Linked DNA regions of Macaca mulatta. The protein of the gene in region 3 purifies or fractionates together with the protein of the main gene of each other region. This does not show direct contact. Links are inferred from orthologs where the notes say so. Each region holds a gene or a part of one and is shown on either strand. Other genes may lie near its edges. The genes, in order: RAC1, NHSL3 and WASF1.

Region 1 (3,651 bases), on a different chromosome or scaffold from region 3:
AAATACAAAAAATTAGCCGGGCGAGGTGGCGGGCGCCTGTAGTCCCAGCTACCAGGGAGGCTGAGGCAGGATAATGGTGTGAACCTGGGAGGCGGAGCTTGCAGTGAGCCGAGATTGTGCCACTGCACTCCAGCCTGGGTGACACAGTGAGACTCCGTCTCAAAAAGTCTCAAAAAAAAGAAAAGCATGAGTGAGATGAAATTAAAAGTTTTCTCATTTGCCCCCCGCCTTTTTTTTTTTTGAGACAGTCTCACTCTGTCACCCAGACTGGAGTGCAGTGGCGCAACCTCTGCCTCCCGAGTAGCTGGGATTACAGGTGTCCACCACCACCCCCGCCAATTTTGTATTTTTAGTAGACACGGGGTTTCACCATCTTGACAAGGCTGGTCTTGAACTCCTGACCTCGTGATCCACCTGCCTTGGCTTCCCAAAGTGTTGGGATTACAGGCGTGAGCCCTTTTTTTTTTTTTTGAGACGGAGTCTTGCTCTGTCGCCCAGGCTGGAGTGCAGTGGCCGGATCTCAGCTCACTGCAAGCTCCGCCTCCCAGGTTCACGCCATTCTCCTGCCTCAGCCTCCCTAGTAGCTGGGACTACAGGCGCCCGCCACCTCGCCCGGCTAGTGTTTTGTATTTTTTTTTAGTAGAGACGGGGTTTCACCAGGTTAGCCAGGATGGTCTTGATCTCCTGACCTTGTGATCCGCCCATCTCGGCCTCCCAAAGTGCTGGGATTACAGGCTTGAGCCACCGCGCCCGGCCCCTTTTCTTAAAATAGTTTCAGGGTTCTATGTTGGAAGAGCGAGTTTGTCAGTTTTTATTGGAATAAAGAAATGAATTGACAGCATTGTGATAAACACTGGAAGTGTTCACTTCTCAAATTTGTCCATGTCTGGACGTGGTGGCTCACGCCTATAATCCCAGCACTTTGGGAAGCCAAGGTGGGTAGGAGTTCGAGACTAGCCTGGCCAACATGGTGAAACATGGTCTCTACTGAAAATACAAAAAATTAGCTGGGCATGGTGGTGGGCGCCTGTAGTTCCAACTACTTGGGAGACCGAGGCAGGAAAATCGCTTGAATCCAGGAGGCAGAGATTACAGTGAGCTGAGATCGTGCCACTGCACTCCAGCCTGGGCAACAGAGCAAGACTCCATCTCAAAAAAAAAAAAAAAAAAAAAAGCTTGTGCTTAAGGGGTGGCTTCCCCCAGACCTGCAAAGCGGCCCAGAATTGGGGGCCTTGGTGTCAGCAACAGTGTTGATTTTGATAATGCAAGTCTGTACATTCAAACCAGGCTCCCAGAACTAGGTGGAAGATAGGAACATTTCTGCATAGGAGACTTGGAATGTTCTGGTAGCATTAAAACTGTCAGCCCTGAGGCCTGGCTATGTTCTGGGAGAGCCCTTTGTCTGGTAGGCATCATTTACCGATGGGTACCTTTCTTGTGTGCTGTGGCTTCAGCTAGGCTGTGTCTGAGAACTCAGATGGAGCACTGGAAAGTGCCGGTGGCTCCCGCCTGCCTTCGCGGTAAGGGATGGTGCAGAACATCTCCGGCTGTGCGGGCTGTTGTAGATTCTGGTGGGTGCTGCCGTGGGAGGAGGAGCACGTTGTTGCCCCCATCAGGATCTGCCTGACCTCTGTGCACCATTGTTGAACTTCTTACGCCCGCTTTTGACCAGGTAGTGTGGAGTGTTTCAGTGGCATTTGTCATCGAAGATGTTAGATTATTATATGCTTTTGGATTCCTCTGGAGGGTTAAGACAAAATTCTAATAAAGAATCGATAAGAGGTTATGTTGATTTTTATTTTCCTCAGTCTGTACTAAACTCAAACCAAGTTCTCATGCATTACTAGGTTGGAGAAACGTACGGTAAGGATATAACCTCCCGGGGCAAAGACAAGCCGATTGCCGTATGTAAAACTTTCAGTCCACTTCAGTTTCAAGCTTTCTCTGTTCTCTCATTTCACTTCGTTTTCTTAGGAATTTTTTTTATTAAGCCTCAAGCTCCTTGAGTGTTTTATATTTAATTCACTCAAGGTTGGGGTTTTGCTTGATGAAATAAACTTGATTAGAGTGTGATAGTTTACCCACCGGCTTGAATTAAAGCAGTTTGTGAACTGCCATCTTCCCCTCCGGAGTGAAAGGAGGGGGGAGAGTGAGAGGGCCCCTCTCCTGGCTGGTTGGAGATGCAGATACGGAGACTCCTCTTGGAATCCCACCTGGCTGTGAGCCGAGCCGGAGCAGGACTAACCTTGTTGCCGGGGCCTTCTTTCTCCGCTTCGGTGTCCCGTGTGGTGGGGCTGTCTGGGCGCGGCTGTGCGGTGCTGCTGAGCTAACCCCACCGTGCTGGAGATGGTGTGCTGGGTGCCGCGGTGACTCTTGGACGAGCTTGTGCATGCGCCAGCGTTCTTCAAACGCCAGTGATAAAAAGCTGTTGTGTGGGATGTTTCTTTCCCTTTCAGGTACAAGGCATCAGCTGGAGGGTTGAAAGTGTAGCTTGGGAATTGTGTGCATTTCATAAAGTAGCATAATTGCCTTTTTCTAGGAGAATATTTTAGAAATGTAGCATTTTAGAAGTTCTTGGGCATTTTTAAATACAGGTAAATATTTGAATTTGGTTTGACACAAAATACAGAATGGAGGAAGCATGCAGATGTCTGGCGTGTTCCCCGAAGCACCCTCCACTGTGTCCTCCGCACCGACCCTTCGCGCCTCTGCTTCAGCCACAGCTGCCCCGGGAGCGAGTTCTCCTGAGGCCCTGGCTGTGCTGACTCGAGGGCAGCGTGAGGGTGGTCGTCAGCTGTGAAGGTGCCACTTACACACTAAGTCCTCCTTCCTTGCGGAGGGAAGGGCTCAAGTAGCAAATATTGGAGCCCCCACTTGGTGCTGGGAGCTGTGACAGGCAGCTCCTGAAGAAGCAGTTTAATTGGAACCAGTGACCATCTAAAAATGTTTGTACTCTAAACCAGATTTTACAGAAATATTGGAATCATACCTTCATACTTGATTTTTTGTTTAGATAGATAGGCGGAAAGGAAGCCTCCTGGGGGGTCTGGTCTGATCCTCCTGATCCTTGAAGAGCTTCTGGCATCATTCTGCCTTCACGCTCCCCATTTTCATAAGTAACTGGTGGCTTGACATGCTGGGTTTGGTTTGGGAGCCCTCTGACAAACTGAAAGGGTGGATCAGGAAGCATCTGACCAAGCCACTGGTACCTAGTAGACACGCTCTGCGTCCGACAAGTCCTTCCCAGCAACATCCAGAAAGCAAAGTGCAGGCTTTGTTCGAAGGTCGTTGTCTAAATGTTTCCCTGTGTTTCCTTTTTGTAGGATGTGTTCTTAATTTGCTTTTCCCTTGTGAGTCCTGCATCATTTGAAAATGTCCGTGCAAAGGTAGGTGGGGATTTAAAGTATATGAGTTATAGAATGACACTCTCAGAAATAAATACTTTATAAAGTATAATAATAAATAAATTTTAAAAAAAAGAAATAAATACTTTAAAATATCACTTAGCCTAGGAATTTTCAGTTATTTAAATTGGTTATAGGAATTTGCTACTTAAGTACATGATTGGGTTTTTTATTCTTTTGAGACAGGGGTCTCACCCTGTTGTCCAGGCTGGAGTGTGGTGGTGACATCGGAGCTCACTGTAGCCTT
Region 2 (3,651 bases), on a different chromosome or scaffold from region 3:
TGTCTCTGACCTTGAAGCCTGCAGCCCTCCCGGGAGATTTGCCTCCCTGCCGGGGTACCCACACTTTACTGGGTACAGCCTCCCAGTCAAGATGTACTAGCCTTTCTAGTGTGCCGGGGAGGACGGGACGTGGACAGCCCAGAAGAGAGGAGAGTAGTACCACTGCAAGTTGGGGAGCCTGCTCAGTGAAATCTTGTTTAGAGGCCTGGGAATGGAGAAGTTTTGGAGGGAGGGGCCTGTTCCTCCTTCCTTCTCCTAGGAATTGGGCTTTCAGTCCTGGATTAAGACATAGAGATCAGAGTTTATTGGACTTTTGAGGGTTGGGGGCCCCCAGTCTGAGTGTGATCCATGAGTCCCCTCTGGAAACCTGGAGTTGAGTCCAGGGTCTGTCTGACTCCTATTGCTGGGTGACCTTAGGCAAGGCCTTGCCCCTTTGAACCACTTCCCCGCTGGCAAAATCTGGGGATCTAGGACACTGCTCTGGTCAGATCTGTTGGGGGCCTCCTAGCTCTGACCTGTGGGATTCCTGCAGACTCCCTGGGGCAGGAGCTGTGGCTGTTGACGAATGGGCTGAGGGAGGAGGAAAGGCAGGTTTCTGAACTGAGGACCCTGCTCCTGGGGCATGGCCCTTTAAAGGGCTTGTTTTGTTCCTGTCGCTTTATAAGGTGCTACCAAGGTCACATGACCCTTCCAGTGTTTTTGCTTATGTTGTGGGTTTCATTTAAAGGGGGGCTGGGGCTGCAAAGTGCTGACACAGCCCCCCATCCCCAGGATTAGATGGCCAGCCCCTCCACAGGCGGGGCTTGTAACAGGATCCTTTGTAATGGATCTCTGGCTCCTCTGCAGCAGGGGCCAGGGCCAGGGCCAGGGCCTCCAGGAGAGGGGGATACCTGGGACTATTTCCCCAAGAGAGACTGGAGCTCCCTTGGGCGGGTGGAGGGGCCTGGGTCTTTCTTCTCCCCTCCCCTGCCCATCTTTCCACTAAGGGGCAGACACATGGGTGAGTAGGGGACCCAGGAAGTTATCTCCCTGGTCTGCATCCCCCCTAGGATTTTCTGGGAATCTGGTTGTAACTCATGCCAGCTCTCCTTCCTGATTTCCCATGGTGTCTTCTTCCTGGACCTGGGTCAAGCGGTGGCATGAAAAGGGTGGTTTGTTTTCCTGTGAAGTGGGGTTTTGGGTATGGAGGCGAGAGCAATGTATTTGCTATGGGCTATGTGTATACTCGGGATGTCTTTTGTGGGGCCCTGAGTGATGTGTGAGTACACAGTCGTGTATATACTTGGTTACTGTTTGTGTATATACAGAGCAGGGACTGTGGGTGTTGTGTTTACGTGTGGGCTGGGTGTGCTCAGTGTGCGTACCTACGTGTGTTTATACTCAGATGCCCTTTGTTTATATACATGAACGATGTCTGTGGGTGCTGTGTACATACACAGTAGACCTGTGTACCTGTGTGCCCTGTGTGTGGTGCCTTATATGGGGCCCTTTGTGTGGTATGATGGGTACTTAGATTTATGTACACTTGGGTGTAGTTTGTGTATATGGGGGCTGTGTGTGTTGAGTGTTTACTGCAGAACTGTGGGTTATGTGTCCAGACTGGGGGAAGGGGGCATTGCTTGTATATGCAAGGGCTGTGTGCAGTCTTGGGACCGTGGGTGCCCTTGCCATGGTACCTGTGCACCTGCAGGGCCCAGATGCCTTTGCCTCATTTCCCTTCCTCCTCCCTCCCACTAGGCTCTGCCAAGGCTGAGAATGACAAACGTCTAAGTGTAGGGCCCGGCCAGGGGCCAGGGTCTGCAGTGGATGAGCACCAGGACAACGTCTTCTTCCCCAGTGGGCGACCCCCGCACCTGGAAGAGCTGCACACTCAGGCCCAGGAGGGGCTCCGCTCCCTACAACACCAAGGTAACCTTCCTCTCCACTCCACTCCCCTCTCCTCCCTCCAGTGCTGCATTGTCAGCTCTCAAGGTCAGGGGCCTAACTCAACAAACCCTTCTGGTGTCTTCCAGAGAAACAGAAACTGAACAAGGGCGGCTGGGACCATGGAGACACCCAGAGTATCCAGGTGAGCCCTGTCTCCAACTCAGTCCTGACTCTTCTCTACCTGCTTGACCCCTGGCAAGGATATCTTGGAACATTTCTGGGTCTCAGTTTCTTTCCTCTATCACAAAAGGCTACACTAAATGACCCCTGAGGGCCAGTCCAGGGTTTCTCAGTGCTAGGTGATGCTGGAGGGGATATGTGACTCAAAAGTTCGAGTGGGAGGCTAGACATGGTGACTCACACCTGTAACCCCAGCACTTTGGGACACCAAGGTGGGTGGATCACTTGAGGTCTGGAGTTGGAGACCAGCCTGGCCAAAATGGTGAAACCCTGTCTCTACCAAAAATACAAAAATTAGCCAGGTATGGTGGGAGGTACCTATAATCCCAGCTGCTTGAGAGGCTGAGGCAGGATAATCGCTTGAACTCAGGAGGCGGAGGTTGCGGTGAGCCAAGATTTCGCTACTGCACTCCAGCCTGGGCGACAGATTCGTCTCAAAAATAAAAAAAGTTCCACTGGGGAGCCTTGAGGAGGCAGCGCCAGCCAGATCAGGGCCTGATCTCCTTCTACCCTGATAGTCCTCACGGACGGCGCCGGATGAAGACAACATCTCCTCCTGCAGCCAGACCACCTCCTACGTGGCTGAGAGCTCCACAGCAGAGGACGCGCTCTCCATCCGCTCGGAGATGATCCAGCGCAAAGGTGGATTCACGGGCAGGGGAGAGGGACGGGGGGCGCCACTGGGTCCCAGCATCTGTAGCTTCTTTTCCTCCTTATCCAGTGTTTCGCCAGGCTCTCTGATTCAATGAATTCGGGAAACACGGTACCCTGTGTCCTCTTGCACATTCATGATACACACTAACTATAAAGCAGTTTAAGAGTTAGAAAATCTTAACTGTTGGAGGCCTGGTGTAACTACGTGCCAGCTGTGTGACCTTGGGAAAACCCTTAACCTCTCTGAACTTCTGTTTGATATTCTCTAAAAATGAGGATAAGTATCTTATTGGAATGAATGCCAAATGTTTAGCATGCTGACTAACACATGATAATATGTTTACTAAATAATAAGCTATCACTAAAGGGAAATTACCATCGTTGACTTAGTAGCCTTCCAGACGTCTTACAGAAAAGAAGCCTCTAGCTTTGTTTAACCTAGCCTTGCCCATACCTACTTGACTGCGGAAATCATTTCTCGCAGAGCTCTTACTACAAAAGTAGTGCCCTGCAGAATGTGCCCTGAGTCCTTTGCTGTAACAGTTTTTCTCCCCCGACCGGCCCCCAGGCTCCACCTTCCGACCCCATGACTCATTTCCCAAATCTGGAAAGTCAGGGCGGCGTCGGCGGGAGCGGCGGAGCACTGTGCTAGGACTCCCGCAGCATGTGCAGAAGGAGCTCGGTGAGGCCTGGTTTAGGAGGGCAGTGGTGGTGGGTGGGGAGCCTTGGTCATCCCTCTCTGCTGACCCCACCTCCTCCCTGTCCCTTCCAGGCCTGCGGAATGAGCGTGAGGCACCAGGCACGCCCCGGGCTCCTGGTGCACTGGATGCTGTACGCATCCCCACAGTGGACGGCCGCCCCCGAGGCACCTCAGGGATGGGGGCCCGGGTG
Region 3 (3,651 bases):
TAATATTTTCCTTAGAAATCAAAAGTTATGGAGGAAAAGGGTCATTTATTATAAGGAAAAGAAAGCAAAACACTAGAATGACCAACATTTTCAAGGAACAAGCACCACAAAGGACATTTGCATTCAGTTTTGTAATATTTATCAATGCATTTTTCTTACTCCAACCAATCTACTTCATCAAATTCTGAATCATCTTCCGAATCACTATATTCAACAGCAATACGGCGAGACAGGATGGTGGCAACATCATTTTCAATGCGTTCATGTTTAGCTTCCTGTTCACGCTGCTCTTCTACTTTGCGTAGTTGAATACCTGATATAGTGAATCCAAACCATTCATTTAAATCAAAATACTAAATACTAAATACTTGATATTATTAACATTTCTGGAATAAAATCAAATGCACATGAGAAATACTAATAGGAAAAATAAAAAGATCAGAAAAGAATGTGAAGAAATCATACTGAGAGAGGCATTAAATCTTTATGTTATCTGTGTTATTAGTTGGTAAAACTTACCAGGTATCCCAGTAGGTATCTAAAGTTTATTTATCCATCATGGTCTACTATACCTCCTTGCTTACCACCCCCTAAAAAATTAATGAGGTGGTACATTTCTTCTATCATCCCAATGGTCAAATAAATTAAACATTGTTGAATATATTTTCTGTGGCTTCATTATCCATTGTACTTGAGGGAAAGGCACTATTATTCATTCTATATGCTCAGTGCCTGGCCTACAGTCATTGCTTAGGAAATAATGACAATACATGAATGAATATGAGAAGTCTTTCCTTTGTTACTAAGGGAAGAACCTCACTCCTTTAAGGGCATCTGGTAGAGTAAGTGTCATGGATACCCGAAATGAACAGCCTTAACATTGAAGAAAATACTATTCTTAAAGGAGTTAATATACACATTAAGCATAATATAAAGGGTTTTAATTAAATATTCTATAACACAAGTCTGATATATTAAATTTCTCATTCACTCAATAAACATTTTAAGGATACCTACAAAGCATGAAAATAAAATGATCAAATGTGATCTATTTTCTGGAAAATGATTTTAAATATAAGTTGGATATAGCTTTACTTTCTAAAGGCCATTTGTACACAACATGATCACCTAAAATTTTATAAATAAGGAACACATTTTTGTCTTAAATATTTAGAAAGTTTCCAATGCTACTATAGCAATGCTTTTCATGGAGCTGAGAAAATTACCTTTTCGTATTGCTTCCAGTAGCACACTCCTGGCATCACTGATTACAGGTAGGGTTGATGGATGGCGCTTTGGCTCAGAAGCAGGTATAACTTGTGATGGAGGAGATGGAGGCATTAATGGAACATGGGGACCTGGGGCAGTAGATGGAGTTGGATGTAGCCCAGAGGGAGGATGAGCAAGAGCTGTAACTGTGACAGGTGATGATGGTCGAATGCCAGGTGGAGGCAGAGGAGGCGGTGGTGGGGGTGGAGGCAGCCCCTGAACTTCACCTTGTGGGAGTGGATGAACTGGTACAGTTTCACATACTGGGGCAGCTCTAGCTACTGGTGGAGAGGGCTGTACTAGAGGAGGTGCAATTGGAGGAGGAGCTGGGTGAAGAACTCCAGGGGCAATCTGAAGAGGAGCTGGAGGTGGTGGTACTGCTGGAGCTTGCAAAGCAGTGGTTGGAGGTGGAGGTGGGGGAGGCACTGGAGGGGGAGGAGTTGAAGTCATTGAAGCTCTTAATGAGGAAGTTGACAAGGCAGATGGAAGAGGTGGTGGAGGAGGTGGGGGAGTGGGGCTCACAAACACAGGTGTTCTGCCTGTAGCCGGTGACTGAGGGCGATTTTCTATCAAACCTGTAGCAGAACTGAAATGACAAAGAGATTCTAGCAAGTTATTAAAAGAGAAAAGCCTAAAGAGAAAATCTAACCACACAAACTATAAATGACTATCTGTAATTATATCAAAATAGATCCATTAACATGCTCCTATAGAAATTTAACATCTTCAACAGTATTTAGGGAAAAAAAGAACTAAAAGCACATCAACAAAAAAAGTTAATGAGTGGTGCTTTGGTTTGTAATAGTCTAAATAGTCTCATTCTTTCATGCAACTTTTGCATCCACTCAGACATTTTATGCTCACTTTGATAAATAAAATGCTCAATTCTATACTGACAGGAGTCTCTGTAATGACTCAACATTGATCATAATGCAATTTTGTAGCAATACTTGTGGCCAATATAATGTTGTATTTATACTGAAACTATTAAGTCTCATCATATGCTATTTCAGTTACATCAATGACAGCTAATTACAAACCACAGAAAGAAATTCACAGCTCTCTCTTTTCCTGAGGATGGAACATCAAATGAGTCAGTGATAGAAAATTGGATTTTTAACTGAAAATTGTAAAGCTGATCTCTATATCTCTATTAGAAAATTTCCCTAATATTTCTCTATTAGAAATTTATCATTTGGATAATAACTGACAAGATTAAACTTCAAAATAGCTTTACAGAAAGATTATTATGAGCAACTGCCAATCCTCTCTGAAATTCTTTAAGTATTTTCCTTAATACCAAATTAGTATTAATAATCACATCTTTGGTTCCCATTTCTTAGACTGTTACCCACATTCCAAAAAATCCTTAATTTTTCTTAATACACTGCACATGATATGCTTAATAACAACACTATAATAAAATGAAACAGGCTTTAGTCTTTAAATTCTTATTAGCTAAATTTTCCTAGGAGAGTGTGTCAGCTCTAACCAGAAGATTACAAATAATGCCCCATAGACCAAATCAGACCTGCTGCCTGTTTTTATAAACAGAGTTTATTTAAATGCAGACACATTTGTTTATGTATAGTCTATGGTGGCTTTCATGCAACAATGGCAGAATTGAGTACTTGTGACAAAAACTGTAAGCCCTGAAAGCCAAAAATACTTACTATCTCGTCCTTGAAAGAAAAAGTTACTGACTCCTAAGATAAAACATCATATGCTTGTTCCAACATACCTGATACAGGTGGGTATCGGTTTCGCATCTCCTGCTCCATGCATTGGTGGAGGCGGAGGTGGTTCATGTGGTCTGACTAATACCCTTTCCTCAGCTCTAGTCAGAAGCTCACTCATCTGACTAAATGGCAAGGCAGAAAGTGAGTACGATCCATCCATATGATCCACGTATGTCTGAGGTCTAAAAGAAATATACAGTATCAGTGAATTTTTCTTGAATTATTGGGAGGAAAAGTGTTCTACATGAGATATTAAATATTTAAAGTTTATCCTTTCAATGCCAACATTTTAACTATTTTTAAGAAACTTTCAGAAAAGTATTACATTAATCCTGCTTTTAAAACAAAGAATGCTGCTCACAATGTAACCCTTACTTGTTGATTTAGAGATCTACTATGATGACCATCAGTTATTTTATTATTTTATAACAGAATACTAATTCAACTCACAGGATGAAAAGCATTACATACATAATCTAATAAACAAGAAAATAATTAACTTTTAGCAAATTGTGTGGAAAGCTATCTGCCTCTATTTCAGTTTTTTTCTTTACAAGAAGATGCCAATGACAGAAAGGTAGAATAGGAAAATGAGTTTTCTACTATCAGTATATCTCAGTGTGCTCTCAAATGACTTCTAAAA

What was found.
Region 1: the proteins of WASF1 (region 3) and RAC1 purify together in Homo sapiens (affinity purification with western blotting; 3 studies listed by BioGRID and IntAct, with this or other methods). This does not show direct contact. The link is inferred for Macaca mulatta from reciprocal best matches to the Homo sapiens genes WASF1 and RAC1.
Region 2: the proteins of WASF1 (region 3) and NHSL3 purify together in Homo sapiens (affinity purification with mass spectrometry; 3 studies listed by BioGRID and IntAct, with this or other methods). This does not show direct contact. The link is inferred for Macaca mulatta from reciprocal best matches to the Homo sapiens genes WASF1 and NHSL3.

What each region holds. Positions count from the first base shown.
Region 1 is NC_133408.1:44,612,293-44,615,943, reverse strand, and holds part of RAC1 (ras-related C3 botulinum toxin substrate 1), read left to right. Parts: intron 1-1,847; coding exon 1,848-1,904; intron 1,905-3,323; coding exon 3,324-3,386; intron 3,387-3,651. UniProt on the Homo sapiens protein: Plasma membrane-associated small GTPase which cycles between active GTP-bound and inactive GDP-bound states.
Region 2 is NC_133406.1:208,089,380-208,093,030, reverse strand, and holds part of NHSL3 (NHS-like protein 3), read left to right. Parts: intron 1-1,737; coding exon 1,738-1,908; intron 1,909-2,012; coding exon 2,013-2,068; intron 2,069-2,624; coding exon 2,625-2,748; intron 2,749-3,328; coding exon 3,329-3,442; intron 3,443-3,532; coding exon 3,533-3,651. UniProt on the Homo sapiens protein: Able to directly activate the TNF-NFkappaB signaling pathway.
Region 3 is NC_133409.1:15,156,124-15,159,774, forward strand, and holds part of WASF1 (actin-binding protein WASF1), read right to left. Parts: intron 3,191-3,651; coding exon 3,011-3,190; intron 1,856-3,010; coding exon 1,227-1,855; intron 314-1,226; coding exon 156-313; 3' UTR 1-155.